Linked DNA regions of Drosophila melanogaster. Changing the gene in region 3 together with the main gene of any one other region gives a genetic interaction. Each region holds a gene or a part of one and is shown on either strand. Other genes may lie near its edges.

Region 1 (6,414 bases), on a different chromosome or scaffold from region 3:
CACACTGCGCTGGACGGGCAAAGAGGCGTACAAAGGCACAATGGGAACTAATTTAAATTGAATTCGAACTCAGTGCTCGCGGCCAGTGGAAAAGTGGAAAATAGGGAAACTCAAACCGCAGCAGGGCAATAAGGCGAAACAGTCAGCGACGACGTTAAAATTAGCACTGAAACGCGCCGTGCGAATGCGCGCCTATGATTTCTTTACCCACTCTCACTGCTCCCAAGCGGAGGTGGCCTCTTTTCTAGCTAGATATAGCTATAAATATAGGTAAGATCACAAGAATATCGAAAAAAAGCATAAGATAATTCTTATCACCTCTTTCGCCGGATTTTTGAAGTAGGATCATCAGAGATAACTGCTTTATATGAAACAAAGCTAGTAAGACATTAAAAGGAAATCGCTCCTATGAGAGCGTTGACAACGTTAAACTTAAAGCAAATATAAACTATCACAATTGAACACCCTTTAAATTGTTATATATGTAAGTGATTTTTTTTGGTTTATTTATTTTATTTTGTTGTTTATTTGGTATAATTACTTTATAAGTAGAACTGTTCAAAAACAAGCCAAGTGAGCTCCTCTGTTTCCCCAAGTACTCTCACGCTCTTTTTTTGCTCTCTCCAGTTGGTGATGACCGTGGGGCCTGGCGCTCTCTTTTGAAGAAGATTTTTGTAAACAAAACCGCGACACGCATTGTTGCTGCTAATGTGATTGTTGTTGTTCTGATAAACGCTAATTTGCCTATTGATATTGATGTTAATGTGCCTTTGCTCACACAGTCGCGGCCAAGGAGATAACACTGCCCCTTAATACATAGATCGTTTCAATCTAAAATGGATGCAAATTTAACATTTGGGCATAGGAAAACGTATGGGTAGACAACGAATATTTTTGTTAAATGAATTGATCACTTTCGATAAGTGTGTAAATCATAAATTCCTGAACTTAAGCTATTGACGTAGTGGGTGTGTCATGTTTGTACTTTGGTAACTGCTTAACACACAGATTTATTTGCATCATAATCACTGTTGAAAGATTTCTACAGGTTATATACACAAAAAGAAAATCTATCATTTGAGGTAGAGCACTACGTAGAAGAATATTATATTTTATACAGATGGCATCGTTGTTTGTTAATTCAAAACTTTTAATACTTCTAATATACTACCATAACTCCTTGTACGTCCTGGCGAGGGTTCGGATGTCCTTCTCTTGAGTATTGTGTTGAATACACAGATAGTTCCTATGATTGCTCCAGTCCCTGATGCTGTGATGGTACATCACTTCCACAATGAGCAGTTCCTCGTAGAGCTCCTCCCAGACTATGCCTATTGTGCTGGCACACGTCTCCAAGAGCCAACGGAAGGAACAGGGGAACAACTGACGCAGTTCATGCTTGTCATGCCTCCGAATTCTTTTCATATAGCCGTGTAGAAGCCAGCAATCAAAATTTGACACTTGCAATAACAGCGTCTCAGGGCTTGGCGGCTCATCATTGATATCGCTCGCTACTTGGTCTGATGCTCTATCAGAACCTTCCGGATTCAAAATTTTTTCCAGATTGCGACGGGGCAGATCTAGAGGGATGTTTAATGGATCCATGGTCCCTTCCTCGAAGGTTTGCAGTGAGCTAAGGCTGTCAAGTGGTATCTCGTTATCGTTGAGTTTGAGAAGAAAGCTGGGCGTTTCGGTAACATCCCAAAACGGATTATTTATCTCAAGTTGCACACGCCTTGCGTCGCGCATTGTTATACGTTTCAAATATCGGGCTCCATAGGTTCCAGTGGGCTGTGTGAACCGAAAGTCCGGCCGTTTCTCCTTACGCTTTAGCTCGCTTATCCACGTCTCGGTTTTAATTTCAGTGTTGGCGCGGTATTCTCGACCGTCACCTCGGATTATTGTTAGTGGGCGGAATATGCCCACGTTTTGGATGTCCTCCTGGCAGGCAAGCTCCTCTACTCGTAGTTTAAGGCCATGTTGGGACAAATACTGCGACAGCTCGGTCGTTTCCAGCACAAAGGGATCCAGGTTGCGGGCCGAGTGATCCACTTTCATGTGGTCAGGAATTGTGATTTTCATTTTTGCACCATCAGACCGCGATACTTGGAGTAGGATTCTGTTGAAGTAGGAGTGAGCCGGAGTCAAGCTGGGCTGGAATTCAATGTGTTCCTTCTCCATACTTTCTTTGCTGGACTCGCCAAAATGGTCCTTCAGCATGGTTTCAATAATGTGTGTCAGGTTTTCATGCTGACGCTTCATTGCCGCAGATCCCTGCATCCAGCCAAAGGTTTCGCCTTGCTCCTTCTCTTTCCACTCCTTTGCCAGTATGTCGTCCACCTGACAACCAGTCCGGGTGGATACCCCGAAGCGACGGGCAAAACTTTGGTTGTAATGTGAGACAATCACTTTCCTCATCTCCACAAACTCCATCCACTCGGTAAAAACAAAAAGCAAGGGAGCCTCATCTCCGCCGACTTCCAGCAGTTTTTCATTGATTTTAGCGGCCGATTCAGATATATTCCGCTCCTTGAGATCGTCCAAGCCGAAGAGCAACTTCATGGCGTAGAGGATGTAGGCCATAGTCCTGGCCTCATAGCGCGGATACGGATGTACGGTCATGGCGTTAAAAAAAGTGGGCGGATGCAGGTCAAGCAGGCTATTCACGTACTTCAGTAGCCGAGGTGGCAGTGCCAACTCCAGAATATATCGCTCCGCTAGGGAGTGCAGGTTCGGTTTTTGATATTCAGACAAGTTTATGAATCGTGACATACACGCGATGTTTACACGCAGAAGCTGTGGAGAATATAAAGATAATTATTAGTTGTGTTCCTTTTTATTAATAGATATTTCTATTTTTCTATCGTTAGAAAATGATGGATTATAGTCACCTTGTTGGTAACCTTGTCTTTCATTTTGCTGAGCTCCATATCTTTGAGCAGTGCCTTGCCCTTGGCCGCCACATTTCCGGGCAGATAGTTAAGCATGCACCGCTTGGTCAAGTGCTCCTCATCAATGAAGCGCAGCAAGTCCGATAGCTGTATATCATCCTCCACCATATTAAGGGCTATGCCCAGCACCACATACAACTTGATAATATTCAGGCAGTAGATGTTACGATCAAAATTGTGGAGCTGCTTGACCCTCGGTCTCAAGCTGTGGCACGACATACTACCCTTGCTGTCGCGGCTATGCTTGTCCAGGTGCTTCAGCGGCATATGGCGCTTCAAGGACTTGCGTGCACGCATTGACCATTGCAGGTGGAGACTCTGCTCCCCTTCGGACTCTGAAGCTCCTCCGTGCGAGCGGTAGCCGGAGGCGTCTAGATTGCGCTGCAAAAGGAATGGGATCAAGGTGTTACAGTCGCATCTGAGTAAACATCACTAATGAATAGGCTAACTATGTCATTTATATAGCTTGTGGAGCTATAAAAGACGAACGTGTTCAAGTCAGCAGCAATTTGGTAAAGTGTGTCGTTGCAAATATGTCCATGCGTCTGGTTCTAATTGGCGTGGCCATCCTGGCATTGGCCTACGGACAACCTGTTCCCGGAGCTCCAGAAGTCACTGAAAGTAATTAGATAAACTAATCCTAACGCTTATTGTTCATCCAACATATTCGCCACAGATTCTAATCCAGTACAGGAGATAAATACAGCAAAACCCATGTATAATGACTACCAACGGACCCTTTTCCTGCTGCTGCCCCTGCTGTTTCCTAACCAATTCTATATACCGACTACCAGCGGCTAATAAACTACCTTAGTTCTGTTCCACAATCTGAACTTGGCGCGCTCGTCATTTGGGTCACCCGTTAGAGTGCTCTTCTTGCCCTTTATACCGACTACCAGCGGCTAATAAACTACCTTAGTTCTGTTCCACAATCTGAACTTGGCGCGCTCGTCATTTGGGTCACCCGTTAGAGTGCTCTTCTTGCCCTTTTTGCCTTTCTTGAATGTCTTATGGTTGTAGATGATGCGGGCATCTCTGAAAGAATTCGGAATTTAAAAATAAGAAATTTTAGGAGAATGCAAGAACCCACATGGGCAGCGCCCGCACATTCAGTTTAGGCAGTCCCGTCTTGTTGCTCTTGCTGAAGGCCACCTCCATGCTGTCCAAGTAAGCCGCCCACACTTGCAGGGTCATCAGTTTGAGCTCCGGCTTGGCGCCCATGTTGAGCAGCTCCTGGAGGAAGCCGCGCAGCACGTAGTTGTAGAATTCCCACGAGGTGATATCGTCCTCATCCTCCTTCTCCGTATCCTTCTTCTGTCGGATCGTCCTGGCTGTATATCGGCCTGCTGCCGTGTCATCAAAGTTATCCTCGGCGGTAATGTCCACTGCACGAATCTGATCCTTCTGTGTGCCACACTCTACGCAGTAGTAGAATCCCTCGCGCTCCTGGAAGGTGGTACCCTCGCACACATCGCAGTGCATGTTCTCCAGCTGCATCGTCTCGAGAACTTCCTCCATTTTTGGGACTTTCTCTTGACGGTATCAGATTTAAATTATATTATTAATCAAACTCGCGGTTGTACACAAATCGTGCATGTGATAGTGGTGGGGAATGATCTATGTTTACAACGATATCATCCGTTCTTCGATTGATTCGATATATCGTCCGTTTCTTCTATGAAAACGTACATCACTAGATTAAGGCGGCAAATAAAAGTTGGTTCAAAGTAACATATTTTTAGTCATGGTATTTTAATAAAATTTTATTTTTATATAAAATTTAGAGAGCGGTTTTTTTTTGAAAGTATATATTAAAATCTAATAAGCGTAAAGGGTATTTTTTATTGTTTTTTATGCCAACCTGTTAGATGCACTTGTACGTTAGCCATCACTGAACTCTAATCTCTCGTAACATTTCTGTTATCTTTTTGGTGTGACCATAAGCAGTAAGAATTGAATTATCCATGTCTTGACGCTTGATTTTTAAAAAAGTCGATTCGAAATATCGATAGGCAACGTAATTTTTTAGCGCTAATAAGAGGTGTTACCAGATTCGGAAAAGCATAAGAACGCGTTTTTCGTTTTCGTTGAATGGCCACTCTGTCCTTGTGTCCATGTACTTATGCATATGTATAGAGACTCGATTCAAAACAAAATCGGCTGGCGAACGTTAACGTCGTTGTCGGACGATTCGACTCGCGTCTCTCTAAGTTTGTTGTTCGTGCCAACCACCCCCGCCGGTACCCAAACGCCCCCTTTTCGCGCGAGTGTTTTTATGGTTTTGCTGAATGAAAAGGCTCGACGAATGCGCTTATTGAGTGCCCACTGTGTCGGGTATGGCAGTGAGTCCTACAGAATGCTCTCGCTGCACGGACAGTTCATGAGAATTTGACATTTAAGTGCGAGTTTGTTCCTCCTTTTGCGGCTAACTGCAGTTTGTAGTTTGCTGTAGTTTTATGCACATTTTTTTGGCGTGGGCTGAGATTGGGACACACCCACCCGAAAACAAAAACAAAAAGTAGTCCAAAGGCCCCAATAATTGAGTGTCTCTGTGTGTGCGTATGTACGTGTGTGTGCGAGTTGTTTATGTGTGCGAGTGAGAGGAAAGGGATTCGAATCGAGCCGGTTTTCGCGAGTTAATTGACAAAGCAAACGGCGGAAAAGCAGCAAACATAAGCAAACCAAAGAGGAAAATAAACAAAGAATTTTAAGTGCAGATATGGGTGTTCGAAGTCAAGTGATAATTAAACAAAAATCACACTAATCCTGACAATGAAAAGGATCACCGCTACAATGCTGAGTACTCTATAATATCCACGGCGATATTCCACCCCGAAGTAAAACACCATGGCCAAAACGCCCCCGCTCCGCCCCCACGGTAACATGGCCAAATTCCTGGCAGCCCTCGGCATCTGCTCTTGGCTCCTCGTTTCGGCCACCGCTCACAACTGCCAACACCAGCATCCAAAGGCCCACGAGGTGAGTTGCGTTCGTTTGGCTCCAAAAATGAAGGGATTGGATTGAATTGGATTGGACTCTATGGTATTGGGTTGAATTGGCCTTCTTCTCTTACTCCGCCCTTTCTTGCAAATAAAACAAATAATATCCGGGAAAGGGCTATTTTGGGAACACGGAATCTTTAAGTGCTCACCCGCACACGTGTGCCAAATATTTACAATCCCAACTACATTAATATTAGTCTTTTTTTTTTTAGTCTTGCAACTAGCTAAGATTTTTCATGCTAGATAGCTAGATTACAAGATAGTATAAGGTATGAAGATGGTTTGGTAATTTCAAAAGAAAGAGTCCTTAAAGTTTAAATCAGCTGGAAAATCGCAACTTCGGAAATTTCAATGCTCGAGTTTCTTGTTTGTTTCTGCTTCGGCCATTTGGGCAGATTGTCCTTCGTGCTCATTAGAGAAATTTCATAATTGGTGCAAACTGTGCTCGTCGAAAATTTATA
Region 2 (5,558 bases), on a different chromosome or scaffold from region 3:
ACAAAACGCTGGCAAAGGCGATTGGGCCATTATAGAGCTGCAAGGCGACCTGGAGGTGCGGAGCAACCAGGATATGCACGGCCAGTTTATTGGCGATCTCTACTACAATAAATATGGCCAACCTGTGAGTTGTAATTGTAAAGTTATAATTTAACCAGCTCTTAAACAATCTGATTTTACTTATATCATAAGATTCTCATCATTGGACATCACATTCTTCAGGGACGTGAACAAAAGTTGGATAAACCATTTGCGGTGCTGGAAAAGTCCAAGACCAATGAGGGAGAACGACTCCTAGAAACGAGCATGGCCTCGCAGGATGTCAGTATGCTGAACGCCACCACGGGAGCGGAGCGCACAGTGCTGGATCATACGATCGCCCAGGAGCACAAGAGTCGCCAAAGAACGGAGTACACTGTGCGCGCCGTTTGCACCAAAAAATTAATCTTCAAATCGCGACCCAAACCAATTATAGCCAATGTAGCTAAATCCGTTTAGGTGTGTTTTCAAAAATATAGTTTTATTCAATTTGTATGATACGATTTTCATAAGTAGACTCGTTATCAAACAATTTCCATTTCACGCTCTATGCCCACGAACTTCAGCTGCTCCGTGGGTCCGTATCTGTAGTCAAAGAATAGCTCTTCGCCGGGCTGAATGGCCCGCTTGGCAAAGATGCCGATGCGATGATCGCCGGTGACCATCATAACCTTGGCATAGCAATTGGGATTAATGGAATGATTGGCAAACCGAATCTTGTTGCCCTTCCGAGTGGCATCCACAACAAAATCGTTGTTCAGATTGAAAAGAAATGAGCACATGTACTTGTCGTAAACCTTGCCACGGCGATCGGCTTCATCTTGGGATATGATCTCGCCACAATATTCCGAAATGAACTCATTCTTTTGCGCACCCTCCTTAAGAAAGATGCCCCAGCCGGCGATGTCAGACGGAGCCATGAGCAGGTGCTTGTCTGCAATTGAAGATTAAATTAGTTGACAGTGGCGAAGACCAATATGGATATATAAGAAGGTTTCTTACGCAGTCCTCGCTGCACGCACACGTTCTTGCACGTGATCTTGGTCAGCTTAAACTGATCCGCTCCGCAGGCCTGGCACAGATCGGGATCACACTCGCGCACTGCCAGATAGCAAGGACACTGCTTCGTATTGCACTGAGCCTTGCAGCGACAGCCGGGGAAACGATTCTGGCAATCGCTGCTGCAGTTGCAGAACTTTTCGCAGAAGTTTTGTGTCTGAATGCAGGAGCAGTTCATGTCGCATGGATGTCCGGGATGGTCGCAGGGCGTGTAGTTGTACACGTGATTCGAGGATGAGTCCTTCTTTAGCTGAATCTTACGACAGTGCAGCGACCACAGACGTTGCTTCTTCTTCTTCTTGCGCGGAGGTGTGAAGTCCTGTCGCAAATCCTCGAAGCTAAACTCAGCATCCTCCTTCTGGGCAAACTCGTACACCTGACGACAGGTCTTGGTCAGCATGTTGTGCGCAATCGCGCAGTAGTTCTTTAAATACACTTTATGCAAGACCCGATAAAGTGCTTGGTCAGCGCCTGTCCAAACGCACTGCGTACTGGTGATGTTCATCATGCCAGCTGGTGAGAAAAAGTGAAATATTTAACACATGGTCCAACCAATCTGCTAACTTAAAACTGACCCATAATGGAGTTGATCTCAGCCACAGCGGCGCTATTTACAGTCAGGCCATTATCCTTGCTATTCTCATGATTAAAGTCCTTGTTGCTAAACTGACTGTTGCTGTCATTACTGTCCTCGGAGCTGGCCTCATTGCAGGAATCAATGGGAGGTGTCTTGCTATCGGCCGCCAGCTTTTCCTTCATGCCATCCTGCAGCATATAACAGAATTAAAATACCATTTAAATTTATAAAGTGCATCCAACTTACGATCAACATGTAGCAGGAGTTGCTGCAAGGTTCGGCGAAAGGCTTCAGTTCCGGATAGCGACGCTTCTGGAGATTGGGACCCGCATGTCCTTGCAAGCCTGTGAACACAGAGCAGCGGGATTAGAATAACTCAATCGGGCGAAAATCACTTGATGTCTATGAAACGCTTTTGGATTAGCATGAGGGTAATCGGTTACATTTGAAGAGATAGAGAGAAATGGTCCAGCCAAAGCCACACGAAAATGAGGTGAGCAACACCGAGGGGTCAATTTAGACACATGACAAACATAGCCAAATTATCCACCGATATGGGTTATTATAAAAATTATATTCATAGACAGCGAGATGAGGATGCGGAGGCGTTGACGGGCAAACGGCATGAGAGTGTGTGCGTGTGGTTATCGAAACAACAACTACAACAACGACTCACCCTGCACATGGTGACCTAAATTGCAATTAATTCAATACATTTTGGAATTTCGTTTTTTTTTTTGGGGGTTTAAGAAATGGTACAGATTTGTGTTTTTTGGTAAGATAATATTGTTTCCAAACAAGAAAAGAAAAGCAAAAACAAAACGTAAAGTCATTAGGTAACCCAGCTGGCAGCAGTTCCCATCGTTTAACTTACGGTGCAGGAAGCAGTCGTATTTGAAGCAACGACGACAGAAGAGCGTGTGAAAGGAGTGCATAGTCCTTTCCCGGGAAACGCTCTCGGCCTTGATGCCGTCAATGTTGGGTGTGCACTCCTGTGGGCGCTCCGGATCCTGGTGCTCCGTAAGCTCAATGTACCTAGCAAAAAGAAAAAGCCGTAAGAAGGGATATTTACTAACCTGGTTATCAAATTACATACTTTTCTTTGAGCTCTTGCGCGGTGCCCTTGTCTGGAAAGTTAGCGCTGATGGCCTGAAAAATAATGGGCGCAGGGAAGGGCAGCTTGTCCTTGACTTCTTCCACATCGGGCTTAACATCCGCATCTTCAGTCTCCAGCGGTTCTTCAGTTTCCTTCTTCTCAACTTCAGTCAGATCCCCTTTGCTGTCGGTTTTCTCAAGCTTCATGGGAGATTCACCATCTGCGTCAACATCAACTACCCCATCATCTTCGCCCTGTTTTGATTTCGCCAACGTCTCTGTTTTAATGGCAGTCGCTGTACCCGGAGCGGCTTCCTCCAGTTCCTTGCTGTAGGAGCGCATAAGGGCGTGCACCAGTTCTACGAAGATGGCATCGTCCATGAACGAGGGATCCTTGTCGCCGTGAACCTTGCCATCGTAGTTTTTGATCAGTTCCTCTATGAACTTGCCATCCTTATCGAGGACCTCGTCGCCCATATAGGGTATATTGTGCAGCACCGTCTCATCCTCCACCATGAAGTTCTGCTGTGTTGGTGCCCACGTGTACATGGTGGGTATGGGAGTGACCGCGTTGATCACGCAAATGGGCACCTTTTGCGGACCGCTGGGAATGCCATTGTAGCTAGTCACCTCCGCCCGCTTCACACAGTCCACATGCGGCGGATCGTAGGGTTTAGCCTGCCAAACCTTCGACTCGCAGTACAGATCCTGTACATTGTGGTTGTGCTCGTCCCTGGAGGATATGTGTACATAGATTTTCGATTCCCAGACATCCACCATCTCTCCCGCGCTTACCAGTTTCTTATCCACGCCTCCTTGATCTCGTCGGCACGTTTGTAGCGCTTCTGCTGCCTGATTTTGATGTACTCCGACTTGACACGCCTCTTCCACTCGGGCGGCACTTTAGTGCTATTCATAATGCCTTCGAGGGACTTTATATTTGTTGATTTTACGTATAAAAAACACTGATTTTGCTACAAATATTATCCGCCTTTTTTTGCAACAGCTGCCGCAGTGTGACCGTTGTACTGCAGGAAGAATAACTTAGACACATGGGTGTATGTAGAAGACCATTTAGTGGGTACTTAATTTGTCCGGTAAGCCATTAATTATATTTATATTATAATAAAAACTATGATATTTTTGTATTAAAATAATATAAATATAATATAAATAATACATAAATATAATACTCACTTTAAATTAGCTATACAACCATTTTGTACTGAAAGTAGGAAATAAACAAAGAGCCCCTCTTTGGTACGACCCTGCTTTGTGTAGTGTTGAGAAACGCAGCCCGTTATCAGTGCTCTCAAACGTGGAATGTCATCAAAAACATAAAAAGAGGAAAAGAAAGCTATGAGAACCTCATCAAATAATAATAATAAATACAATAATATTTAAACTGGACAAATTTAATCGCATTAAGACGGCCACGAGCTTTGAGGAAATAGCTGCAATGGAACCGTCAGCCTGCGAAGGTATGTAACTCGCCGGCAAAAGAGAGCCGGAAAACGCGCAAGCCACTGACTATGTTTACCAACCATAACTGGGTTTGTTTTCCTCGCTCCTCTGCAGATCTCAAGGCCTTCGAGCGGCGCCTCACCGAAGTGGTTTCATCGTACCGTCCCTCGACGTTCCGCTGGCGCAGTAAGTTGCATCCGTATAATGAGAACACCAGGGAGCATTACAATCCGTAATAACCATAGAGCTTCTTGCAGTTGTCCTTTCCGCCATGTCCATGTGCACCGCCATCAGCGCCTGGTACTGGCTACGCGATCCGCGCACCACCGTTGTACCGCTAACGGAGTCCCTCTGGATTCATCCCGTCTTCACAGTCGCCACCCTAACATTGGGTAAGAATCGGTGTAGCCACTACTGTACTCCGTACATAGGTCACTTTTTGTAGTCAACAGCGGCGGTCATTGAACCTCGGATATTCTACCTAGTATGGAGAATAATTTTAATACCAAGCCATACCATGCTATTTAAATCCATATAATCATATCGTAGAGCAAGTCGATACTATATATCAGGTTATCTCAGGCTACTCGGTAAAAAGAAAGGATCAAAATCAAGAATTTCAAATTTTTAGGTATTTCTACTGTTATTTTGAGTAGAATACACTCCTTATATCTATCACATCTATGCAAACTACATAAGTACATTCTCCAAATTTTAGCAACATTAGGTTGCCTTTAATCTTGTCAAAGCTCTTCGCTTTATCAAATTCGATTTGTATATATCAATATTGATAGTCCAACTGATTAAGAATTTTCAGCTAACAAACACTTCCATTTAATCTAATCTAATTTTTTTGGTTTGAAACTGACTTACTGATTTTGTAAACCTTATCATTTCTCTCCGCAGTCGTCCTGTTCATCCTGGGCATACAGAAACTAGTCATAGCTCCGCAAATAATTACATCGAGAACGCGAATGGTACTGGGAGACTTTAATATGAGCTGTGACGACACGGGGAAGCTGATACTCAAGCCGCGGCAAAGTAACAACAACAGTACATGAGCACCGGCCAGCTTCCAGGACGTTTATTTAGTTAATTGCTAGTTCCCTTACCCTTTTCTTTTTTCCTACATGTTGATTCGGACACCCTCGCTTTGTAAGCGTATTTTTAAAGTACCTCTTATTTCTCCCCTACACATTTTGTTTAATTATAGAAGCTCCTTTGTACAAAAAAACAAAAAGAAAAGAAATCAATTGTTAAGCTTTATGTGTTTCGTTAATGGCGTTACCCATCGCTGCCAAATACACCAAGCGACATTTCAATA
Region 3 (10,000 bases):
GACGAGCACTCCCACGGCCGCTGCTTGAACCCATCGATTCTCGGATGTCCCACACGATCCATGAAGGCGCTTCTCGTGCGCAGACTCTTGCTCCTCGGTGCCTCCTTCTTCTTCTCTACCAGCGCAAAGTGGTTGGTCTCCCAGGCGGGAAAGTGGCTAACCGAAATCGCATCACTGTCCGCATAGAAGGGCAGCTCGTACGACGATCGCTTGTATCCCAGATGATAGCTCTTCTCCTCGGGCTCGCCCGGCGGATCGATGCTCATGTAGCGCGGATTAAATGCCTGTCCCAGAATTTTGGCCAGCGACTGCGTGGATAGCTCGGCGCAGTAATCGGCATCATCTTGAGCCGTCCCCAGCACTGCCAACCAAGTGAGCACAATGGCCAGTTCACTTTGGGATTTCATAGTTGGACACAGTATACGCAGAAACATGGCTGGCTAAAAACAGGGCTACACCAATATCAACCAATTGATTTATCGTGTTTACAGCAGTTATCGTTGCTCTCTACACTGTAACTTATTTAGGTACTAAAGTAATAACAGCCAATTCAATAAAAAGAAGGATTTTAATTTCAGTGTCATTGCGAAAGATTATAAATTAAATTTATTCATATATATAATTAAAACGCATTCTAAACTTTGGATAAATTTAAAGTTTTTTTTTTTAAATTAAACTATAAAAGATGGGTCTAAATATTTGAAGTCATAATAAAATTGTCATCATAAGGTAAGTTTCGCTACTCAAGTGGGCTCCAGTTTTTTCGACTATCAAACATAATAGCCGAAAAAACTGCTCTGATGGCTTTATTCGAAAAATCCCATCTCTATATATTCGTACCGTTATGTTTTATCAAAACAATAGAGAGTATATTGTACGTTGTAAAATATACATATATTAAATCTGCATTACTTAAAATGATTCCTCGTATTACAACTACTGAGTGTATGCTAGTCCTTGGGTTCTGTGTAAAGTAAACGAATCGTACACGCGCTGCAGCTCAGACAGACGATACTCCTCCAGGCAAACGATTCCCTGGAGCGACGGAGATAGCTTCAGCGCGCACGATAGGCAGTGGACCACATGTCGTTTCTCCTGCTCCTTGATGAACAGCACATTGAAAACCTCAACCTGCAAAGAGTGCACAAATGATTAAATAAACTGCATTCATATCACCTTTGGAAACTGTATAAATATGTTAATAATACTACGCTAAATACCTCGCATTGTCCGCAGTAATGGGATGCTTCGTTCTTTCCGCGTCCATTGAAACGTATTTCCACACCTTTCGATTTGACATACTCTTGTATGTGCAATACGTTTTTCAACGTTTGCAGCAAACACATTCTGAAAATTACAAATTACATATGTATGCCCTATAGTATCTGCATAATGGTGATTCCTATCATTTGCTAACTCACTTTATCAGCTCGAAAAGTTTGGTATCAGACACTTTAATATTCCTTGCAAGATTCCAGCTTAAATGCACCATCGGCACAATGCTCTTGAAGGCCTGCACTTTATTCCACTCATATCGCTCGATGGCAAGAGAATACTGACGGGCAGTCAAGGGTCCAACATTCCACGCAATGTTGTTGCACCAACCGATCGACTGAACCCAATGGACGCATCTGAAAGTAGGTTTGATTGTTAATACATCATCCTTCCTTTCATATTCAGTGCTTACCCGGCATTCACCCAAACCAAGTCACCGGGCTTTTGTATAAATCTATAAACTGGTATATTCTCCTTGTATAAATCCTCCAGGACGGGCCACCACGAGCCGTGCAGATAGCTAATGTTGTTCTTCTCGCAAAGATTGTGAACTCCGCCCCAGTAGGCGTCAGGGACGGCAAACCATTCACAGTCGCCAGGACCGATGTTGATGTTGATTGAGCAGAAGTTGTTGTTCTCTTGGTGGCCAGGCGTCCTACTTCCGGGCACCTTCATGTACAGCTGAACGGTGTTCATGCCCAAAATGACGTGGCCCACGTGTGATAGCATATTGGCAGCGGATATAACTCGCGCAAAAGCTGGCAGTTTTTGTAGCTCTGTTAATTGTGGTTTCCATTTCTTTTCATCGGAGAGGTCCACGTTGGTCCCGAACCTAAAAAAAAAAGCGAAATAAGCATTTAATTTATGTTCATAAAGTTCGTAATGCAGACATAAATGGTTTGGAGTTTCTATTACCTCAACATTTTGCTGTTTATTTTGTGTTTTTTACGTTTGAGAACAATGTTCGAATTGGATACCGAGTCCTTTGAGTCTGAATCCGACATTGCTTGCGAGCCGGGGAAACCTTTATCGCTTTCATCCTGCGGTAAAATAAGCTACACGATAAAGTAAACTTGTATTCATGTTAAAGAGGAACCAACCCAACGAACATTACCTTCAAGCTGTCTTGAAAACTGGATGCCTGATATTGGGCATATTTGGCTATGGTTGTGTGAGACCGATGGGAAATGCAGGCCCAGACGCGCTTACCCTGCGAAGTGTCCCAATTTTCATCGGGAGACTGGTGCACTTGTGTCCGAACCTCAACACTATGGTCCGGGTTGGCTTCCACCAACGTTTTGGTCGAAAAGAGACCGAGATCTAGCTTCAAGACGCCCGCTAAGCCGCGTACAACGGCAATCGGATGTTTCAGGCAAAACTCCTGCAACTGTGGGCTGAACGCGTGCTTCTTATTTTCTAAATGAACAGAGGGTGTGGGAGGCAGGAGTTGATCTCGCGTCAGTTTCTGCGGTGGGCAATCGGGCGGAGATGGCGGCGGCGCATTCACTTGCAAAATGGTACAGTGCACGGGCGGTTCATCAATCGGCAGCAGCTTCACAGCTACCATCAACTGCTTCGAGTCCATTTGTATTTTGAACGTGGTCGAGATGTCGGCGTTGTCACCGCCAATAAAATCATGCCTCGAGTCCTCATTGTTACTCAGTGCATCCTGGCTCAAACGTTCGAGCTTGATGCTCTCATTCTGTTTATAAATATCATTCGAGATGTCGTCGAAGGTGTCAAGAACACTTTGCTCCGAACTTTTGTTGCTCTCCGGCATGGCGTTGAAGTTGCGCTGGTTTAAAGATTCCGAAATGTCTGTTTGGAGTGTTAAAAAGTGATTTAATACTTTAAGATATATACTATTTAAATTGGTCACTTACTTATTAGATTTTGCGCTGATGTCTGACTGTTGTTTTGTGTTACTTCTTGTTGGCTTGTGCCATCTTCCTTAATACGTTTCGAAGGTATGGGACTTTGGCTGAGTTGGCTATGCGGATAAGGTGGTGGCGGTCCCTGTTTAAAAACATGATTTAGTTGATTGCCCACTGATTGGTTTAGGATTAAGGAATTCACCTGTACTGGACTTTGCTTTGTGACCTGTCTTGGTAGCATCTGCGCTGTTTGTTGTTGGCGAGAGTTCATTTCTAATGATATTGGCAGGTTCCAAGCTTCTTCGATTGAACACAGCTGGCGGCGCTTGGATGTAATACTTGGCAATGGTGCTTGACTGAGCTGGCCCTCCAGGAAAGTGATTCTCTGAGACAGGCCTTTCGACAGTCCAATTGTGTCCTTTTTCATACGTATTGCTTGTTTTTTTCGAATTAACGAAGACTTCTTCAAGCAAAACAAGTGTGTTAGGTATTGGAAATGGCTACAATTGCATATATAAATTTACCTGGAATGATATTTGTTTGGTTGCATTTAAGTAGCAAGCATAGGCATCTCGTAATTGACCACAGCTCTCATAAAGTATACCCAGGTTGGTCCACGCGGCTTTATGGTCTTTATCCAGTTGCACAGCACATATGTAGGCTTGAAGGGCATCCGTGGGTTGATTTTGTTGCTGATATAAGACGCTAGAAGTGCATGTGTAGAATACAAATAAGATAGGGGCCAAGCTAAACACATTCATTGTTATTTTACCCGATTGAGCACCAAGTATCAGCATTCCCCTCACTTTTTTCCACCGAGTTGCGATATGCTAGGAAAGCATCATGAACCTTATTGATGCCGGCGTAACACCTTCCTAGTAAATATAATGATTGTCCACTCTTTGGGTCAGCTTCGATTGATTTTTGTAGAAAATTTAATGCGTTTGCTTCACGTTCCTTTTTTTCGCCTAGGCATTCTACGCAATGGTACATCCATCCTATAAGGATTCAATAAAAAGTTATGTCTCTACCAGCTTAAAATATAACTTTTTAACTTACCTAATTGTCGATAAACATCTGCTTTGAGCTCCAAGGAGATGTTTTTCTCATTTAGAAGAAATTCGTAGCCATCCTTTGCCGCCTTGTGCTTGTTTTGAACTTCGTACAAATGCGCGATTTGAAATTTGACTGCAAAGTATTAATAATGAATAAAGTTTAAGACACGGGGTGAACGTACTGCAAAATATTTAAATTCTGAATGAATCATAGAAGTTTGCCTTCATCGTATTACTTGATAATTCAATGTATGAGGACTTTTTGCATATAAGTTGTTTATATATCAATAATAAGATAACATTTTAAGATGATAAGTAAATAACTGAAGAACAGAAAAACCTTTTCAGATCACAGTTTTAATTACACATGAAACTTATATGCAAAAGTTTATAATTATTCAATAGATCTTACCCTGAAGTTCCGAAAAGGTCGAAGGATATGTATAAAGCAGCGCCAATTGTAAATGTTTTAGGGCAATATGGAACTCCCCGCAGTGTTTTAGCATAAGACCTAGACGCAAATGAACTTCATTTGCACATGTAAAATTGGGACTTAGGTATAAAAGCTCCTGAAACGATTTGATGGCCCTGGAAAAAAGTAAGTAAATTAATTTTTTTATTCGTTGTTCTGAATTATTTGTTATAACTTGAATGTATTATTTTAATTTATTAAATTTTGTTTTATATTTAATTTATAGTAATTGTTTACAGTGAGCGGTGTTTACATAAGTGCATACATACTTATGTGCATGCAGTCACGTACACACATGCACGCGTATGTACATACATACATACAAATAACCATTTGAACAAACAAATTCAAGTAACATACTTAATTAAACTAGAACTCCGATGATAAGTGCACAACAGTAAACTTAAATGTTAATCTCCTAAAATATGCCTGCAAAATGCAGGTTTTGTTTATAAATAACAATAGAACTTGCAGCCGTCGTGTCGGCAGACATGTCTGCGTGCACTCAAAAAAACGAGACAGACCGTTTCATGGCTTTTTATCAGATAGAATTGCACTGAGAATCATTGATTATTTGCGTCGGACGCGGTCTGCCTAAATGTTAGCTTTCGAAATTAATAAAATTAAACAAAGAACACATTTTACCCCGCAATTCAACTAACGACCTTAAAGGGGGGCACTCATTGCATTTTGTACACAGACACACGCACACACACGCACCGTGTACATACATGCATGCATGTAACGAGAATTTATGTATTTTTATAACAGCGAATTTGCAAAAACAAACAAAGGAATACAATGAAAACACATATATTCATTTTAATTTTTGGCAATATTACATCGGTTTAATTATTATTATTGTAAGTGTTAATGTTTACAGCATCCATTTGTTTTTTTTTTCTTTAGAACCCAGACAACTATGAAAAGATTCAAAACTAACCAGTAAACGCACTTTTTTTATTCGAAAAAATCTCGGCAGTCTTAATTTTAATTCGTTGTGAATTGTTTACAAATATATATATAATATTAGTGGCAGTGTTGTTTCGTGTAGAATCTATTTAGTAAACAATTTAATATCAATACAATAGGGATGTGACAGGCGCGATATCGTGATTAAATGGGAACGATATGAAAGCGAAACGTATACATCGATAAGAGCCATCGATGATTACAATTGATAAATAAATGTGCTTCCACTGCACATGCATCTACGTTTAAACGATTCATATCAAAATCGCATGTAATGGGTTTTAATTATTAAATATAACTTAATTGTTTTTGAACGTAGCATAAAGATATTTCTTAAATACAACAAATATATTTAAGCAGTTAAAATATTAAAAAGATAAGTAAACTTACCATTTAAAGCACCGAAGTTTAAAATAAGCAACGCCTATTCCATAGATAAATGCATGATTTGTCCAGTAATTGTTTTCTCGGAATCTTAAATACTTTTGGTACGCTGATAAAGCTACAAAAAGAATAAGATATTAAAAAACAACTCAATTCTTTCAGGATCTCTCGTGATGGATTGAAGTGTTATGTTATTTATGCGTCGTACTCTGCAGTTTAGCAGTATTTAATGTTAAAGTGTGTCATTAATGCGGCATTCTACAACTATGTTCCCGAGTTTGGAAACAATTGTTCCACCTGACACATTATGTAAGGTAAAAGAACCAGATATTCACAATATATGAATTTGTGAGGACTACAAGCATCCTATATATCCTATAGATGTCATTTGCAGAGTGCACTGATTGTATCTGGACATGTGCATCTGGATTTATGTATTTACCTTCGGAGTATTCGCCAAGAAGAAGATGCAGGTGGCCAAGTTTGCAAAGAGCGTTAACGTAGTGTTCATCCTGGTGTTTTTCTTCAATGATGGACACCTTTTCCTTGGCATCTTGCTCGAAAGGTTTGGTGTCGTCATTGTTTCGGGAAGATGTGTTTTCCATATGTTCACCTGCTTGAGTTGATGGCTCAAACTTTTGTATAGCATTTTTATTATCACTGCTGTTCTTTGATTCGTGAACCTGACCATTTGCAATGTAGTTTTGTAAGTTTGTGATGGTCTGCTGAACGAGATTCCTTAATTCCGCATTTTTCGAATTGGACAAATCCAAAAAGCCGTAGTATCGACTGAAACGTAAATATTATTAAACAAGATTCGAGCGGGTGGCATTAATCGTACCTATCCAGTTCGCGGATCAGGCAATCATCTTCGAAAGTTAGTTGCCCCATTTTTAAACCAACTGTTAAATCTACTGGGTTTTAGAAGCGTGGGCAAAATACAGCGTAGTTTTTAAAATATTTTTTTATTTATATTTTTAGTTTAGAGATGACACTAAAATATTCTTAGAGATGATACATTTTTCTATCGTCGACGTGTCACGCCTTTTTTGAAGTTAGTTTCTCACTGCGCAATCGATAACGGAACTGGAACGATTGGAAAATTGTGGGAAACTGTGACCAAATAATTTTTATTTTCGCGTTAGCTGATAACAATTTATTATACACCAAATCAATACAGATGCTGTTTACAATTTATGTTTTAAAAATTTGAATCTTAATGCAGTTCTTTTGATACTTTTCAGATAAAATATACATTTAAGTTATGGAAACTGATCTTATTGAAGATCAAAAAATAAATTGAAAATTTAGTTAAAAAAAATGGAAATTTATTGTGCGAGTTATCGCTAGAAGAAAATTAAATGTGAATATCCATGCACAAACTCCTTTGGCCTTAGATGTGTTTGCTCGGTTTTTTAGGAATTCCTTCTCACTTTCAATGTTTTCATTAACTGAAAGATAAACAAAATTTTAGGTAGTTTTTAATTAAAACTATATTATTCAAACAATCAATGTAATATTTAAATATCAATAGAACAATGAATTAACTTACAAGGGTCCTCCGTGTTTAAAAAATCTTCTGAGACGCTTTCCACGTTTACAGCATCTAAAAACAATTACTCGGTAAATAAGTATAGCAAAGGAAAAACAAAAAAATTTAAAAATTTTGTAAAAGTAATTACGAAGTAGAACAGCCGTATTCATTTTCTTACCAGTTTCTGAGTCCGTCAAATCTTCTACCTCAGTTTCAATCTCATCTTTAACTGAAATTAAATATTCAAATTAAAGTTATTTTAGAAAATAAAACTGAATAAATTAGACTTACTGGGGTTTGCTGGGTCTGGAAAATACACCGCATCAGGCTCAACGAATTCCTCCACTGAAAAATATTTAAAAATGTACTAATTAATTATATGTAATTAGATAACAATGAAAAATAAAATTCCTGATGGATTTATAAAAATTTTAGTAAAGTACCTTTGATATTTATTTGATTTTTGATAAATGTGTTAAGATAACCCTTCTTCCCAAAAGAAAAGCGTTATAAATTTTAGACCTTAAAATTCCGGCTAAAAGTGGATCTTTTTAGTTTTATCATAGAAATATTCTTATCAAAATGCAGTTAATCTTTCTCGGGAAAGCAGAGGAAAGTTTCTACGAAACTATTTGTTTCTCTTAATCCGCAAACGATAAACTACTTTTGACAACAAAATAAATATAGCAAATAACTTTCGGTTTACATTACCTATTTCTGCGATTTTTCTTTGACGATAAGGTAGAGATACACTGTAGTTGTTATTTTGAATGTCCGCAATCTCTGTATTCTGTATTATTGTATATATCCAACTTAAATATGGATTTAATTGCGTAAACCTATTTGGGCGCCGAACTTCAAGATTAGATTCCCGTTTATTTTTCAATGGCAAGCCATAGGAAATGATTCCAACTAAATTACTTTCATGAATAACACCATAACCGGGATATATGTTTTCTCCATCCGCATTTTTCCAAACCTGTGGTAGTAATTTTAATATTAATAAAATCGTTTTTCACATAAAAGGATATGTTTTTACGTAAGATTCCACACCCTCCTCCAATGGAAAATCGGTAATATCATAGTCAGCGACTAAAACCCATTCAATATCGTTTCGCTCGGAAAGCGGAAGTTGCGTACTGAGACTTAGGATCGCTATATCATTGTCCAACGATGAGAAATTGAACTGCGGATATACGTCTATGCCACCAACGAGGTATATCAACTCGTTCAAATCTTCGCCTTTGAATGATACCGCCAACTCATCAGCATTTAACAATTCCCTACCATTTACGAAATCGTTATCACTCAATAAACACGATGCTGATGTTAAAACCAAGCGACTCTGAATGATATTGCCATAGCAATGGCCGTCGATCAAATCTCCTTGAGTATTCCTTTTGCGCACAAGGACTTGGTACGAAGGACGAAAGTACTCATTTTGCACGAACGGAAAAAAGCACAAGATAATCAGAGCTACCGAAATCATAGTATCTTTGGCTACGCAGGCGGGAGAATCTTGACTGTCTTCACGGTTTCCTTACACGTTTAAGATAGTAAGCAACCTCAGATGCACAGATGCCGAGAGATATAGCTTATCTTTTTATATAATTTGCTTAAGTACAGCGGAACCCGCATTCTTGGGTCTTAATTCAGTTGCGATAATTGAGCATAAACAGGTGTGCGAAATAACACTTTTTTTTATATATGAAGATATGAAGTGTAACTGAGGAAGTAGTCTGAACATTACGCTCATTATGTGATAACAATTAGTACAAAGATTCCCAAATTTTTGGTATCTTATATCGCATGTTTTTACTGTTTCACTGTTGTTTGTCTGGCTTCATAAAATGAATGAAAAATTTAAGAGGGCAGCTCACTAAGCACGGAAAATCGTTAAAAGGGTGAACCAATTTGTTAGCAAAAAATTTAAAATAACTGAAAAAAAGGTAATAATAAATATTTTATGTGTCTTGGCAACGATTTAAAAAGATTTAAAATGAACTCATTTACTTAGCTTTAGATTCTTTTTGTTATTTGTTTTAATGGAAGATATAAGAACAATTAATATAAGCAGTAATATTTATTTTCTTGTTTACGCAAGCTTAGACTGCAATTTGTTTACAGGCAAACGCAGTCGACAGAGCAGAAAGCACATTATTTATGTTTTCAAATGAACTGCCACAGAAATGTATAAATAAGTAGCACATTTTTTGATAACAAATTAGTAAAAGGAGCTGTCTGTTCCGACTGGGATCTACCCAGTGATTCCAGAGTTCAAGGTAGTTCTTGATCAGCTCAGTCAATGTGGCTAATTTTTATTATGAAACAGCATCAGCAAGAATTGAAGTAACCTGGTTTTTTAAAAAACGTTTTTCTCCTTCGATATTACAATACCTCAACAATAGAATTAAATAAAAAGTAGTTCAGTGTC

Evidence for each region.
Region 1: of Utx (region 3) and TAF1B, changing one enhances a phenotype caused by changing the other (phenotypic enhancement), as found in Drosophila melanogaster (one study listed by BioGRID).
Region 2: of Utx (region 3) and E(z), changing one suppresses a phenotype caused by changing the other (phenotypic suppression), as found in Drosophila melanogaster (one study listed by BioGRID).

The regions. Positions count from the first base shown.
Region 1 is NT_033777.3:10,139,603-10,146,016, forward strand, and holds TAF1B (TATA box-binding protein-associated factor RNA polymerase I subunit B), read right to left. Parts: upstream 4,583-6,414; 5' UTR 4,470-4,582; coding exon 4,042-4,469; intron 3,987-4,041; coding exon 3,866-3,986; exon of another isoform or gene 3,753-3,865; coding exon of another isoform or gene 3,628-3,752; intron 3,573-3,627; coding exon of another isoform or gene 3,485-3,572; exon of another isoform or gene 3,468-3,484; intron 3,333-3,467; coding exon 2,892-3,332; intron 2,797-2,891; coding exon 1,168-2,796; 3' UTR 501-1,167; downstream 1-500. Other genes in the region: CG42759 (uncharacterized protein), read left to right, coding at 3,485-3,572, 3,628-3,752; invadolysin, read left to right, coding at 5,799-5,930. UniProt on the Drosophila melanogaster protein: Component of RNA polymerase I core factor complex that acts as a GTF2B/TFIIB-like factor and plays a key role in multiple steps during transcription initiation such as pre-initiation complex (PIC) assembly and postpolymerase recruitment events in polymerase I (Pol I) transcription.
Region 2 is NT_037436.4:10,634,075-10,639,632, forward strand, and holds E(z) (enhancer of zeste), read right to left. Parts: upstream 3,806-5,558; 5' UTR 3,688-3,805; coding exon 3,566-3,687; intron 3,504-3,565; coding exon 2,772-3,503; intron 2,711-2,771; coding exon 2,550-2,710; intron 2,367-2,549; coding exon 2,352-2,366; intron 2,020-2,351; coding exon 1,922-2,019; intron 1,864-1,921; coding exon 1,674-1,863; intron 1,612-1,673; coding exon 1,042-1,611; intron 974-1,041; coding exon 564-973; 3' UTR 501-563; downstream 1-500. Other genes in the region: CG34001 (uncharacterized protein), read left to right, coding at 1-124, 193-498; Cnep1r2 (CTD nuclear envelope phosphatase 1 regulatory subunit 2), read left to right, coding at 4,230-4,251, 4,349-4,420, 4,480-4,626, 5,141-5,295. UniProt on the Drosophila melanogaster protein: Polycomb group (PcG) protein. Catalytic subunit of the Esc/E(z) complex, which methylates 'Lys-9' and 'Lys-27' of histone H3, leading to transcriptional repression of the affected target gene.
Region 3 is NT_033779.5:10,271,776-10,281,775, forward strand, and holds Utx (Utx histone demethylase), read right to left. Parts: upstream 7,037-10,000; 5' UTR 6,924-7,036; coding exon 6,874-6,923; intron 6,822-6,873; coding exon 6,475-6,821; intron 6,151-6,474; coding exon 6,039-6,150; intron 5,777-6,038; exon of another isoform or gene 5,620-5,776; intron 5,387-5,619; exon of another isoform or gene 5,037-5,386; intron 4,793-5,036; coding exon 4,617-4,792; intron 4,338-4,616; coding exon 4,209-4,337; intron 4,148-4,208; coding exon 3,922-4,147; intron 3,855-3,921; coding exon 3,674-3,854; intron 3,613-3,673; coding exon 3,352-3,612; intron 3,292-3,351; coding exon 3,159-3,291; intron 3,094-3,158; coding exon 2,390-3,093; intron 2,331-2,389; coding exon 2,191-2,330; intron 2,108-2,190; coding exon 1,688-2,107; intron 1,632-1,687; coding exon 1,422-1,631; intron 1,348-1,421; coding exon 1,221-1,347; intron 1,132-1,220; coding exon 937-1,131; 3' UTR 852-936; downstream 1-851. Other genes in the region: trk (trunk), read right to left, coding at 1-434; CG34043 (uncharacterized protein), read right to left, coding at 7,344-7,483, 7,585-7,638, 7,745-7,795, 7,858-7,911, 8,278-8,545, 8,606-9,055.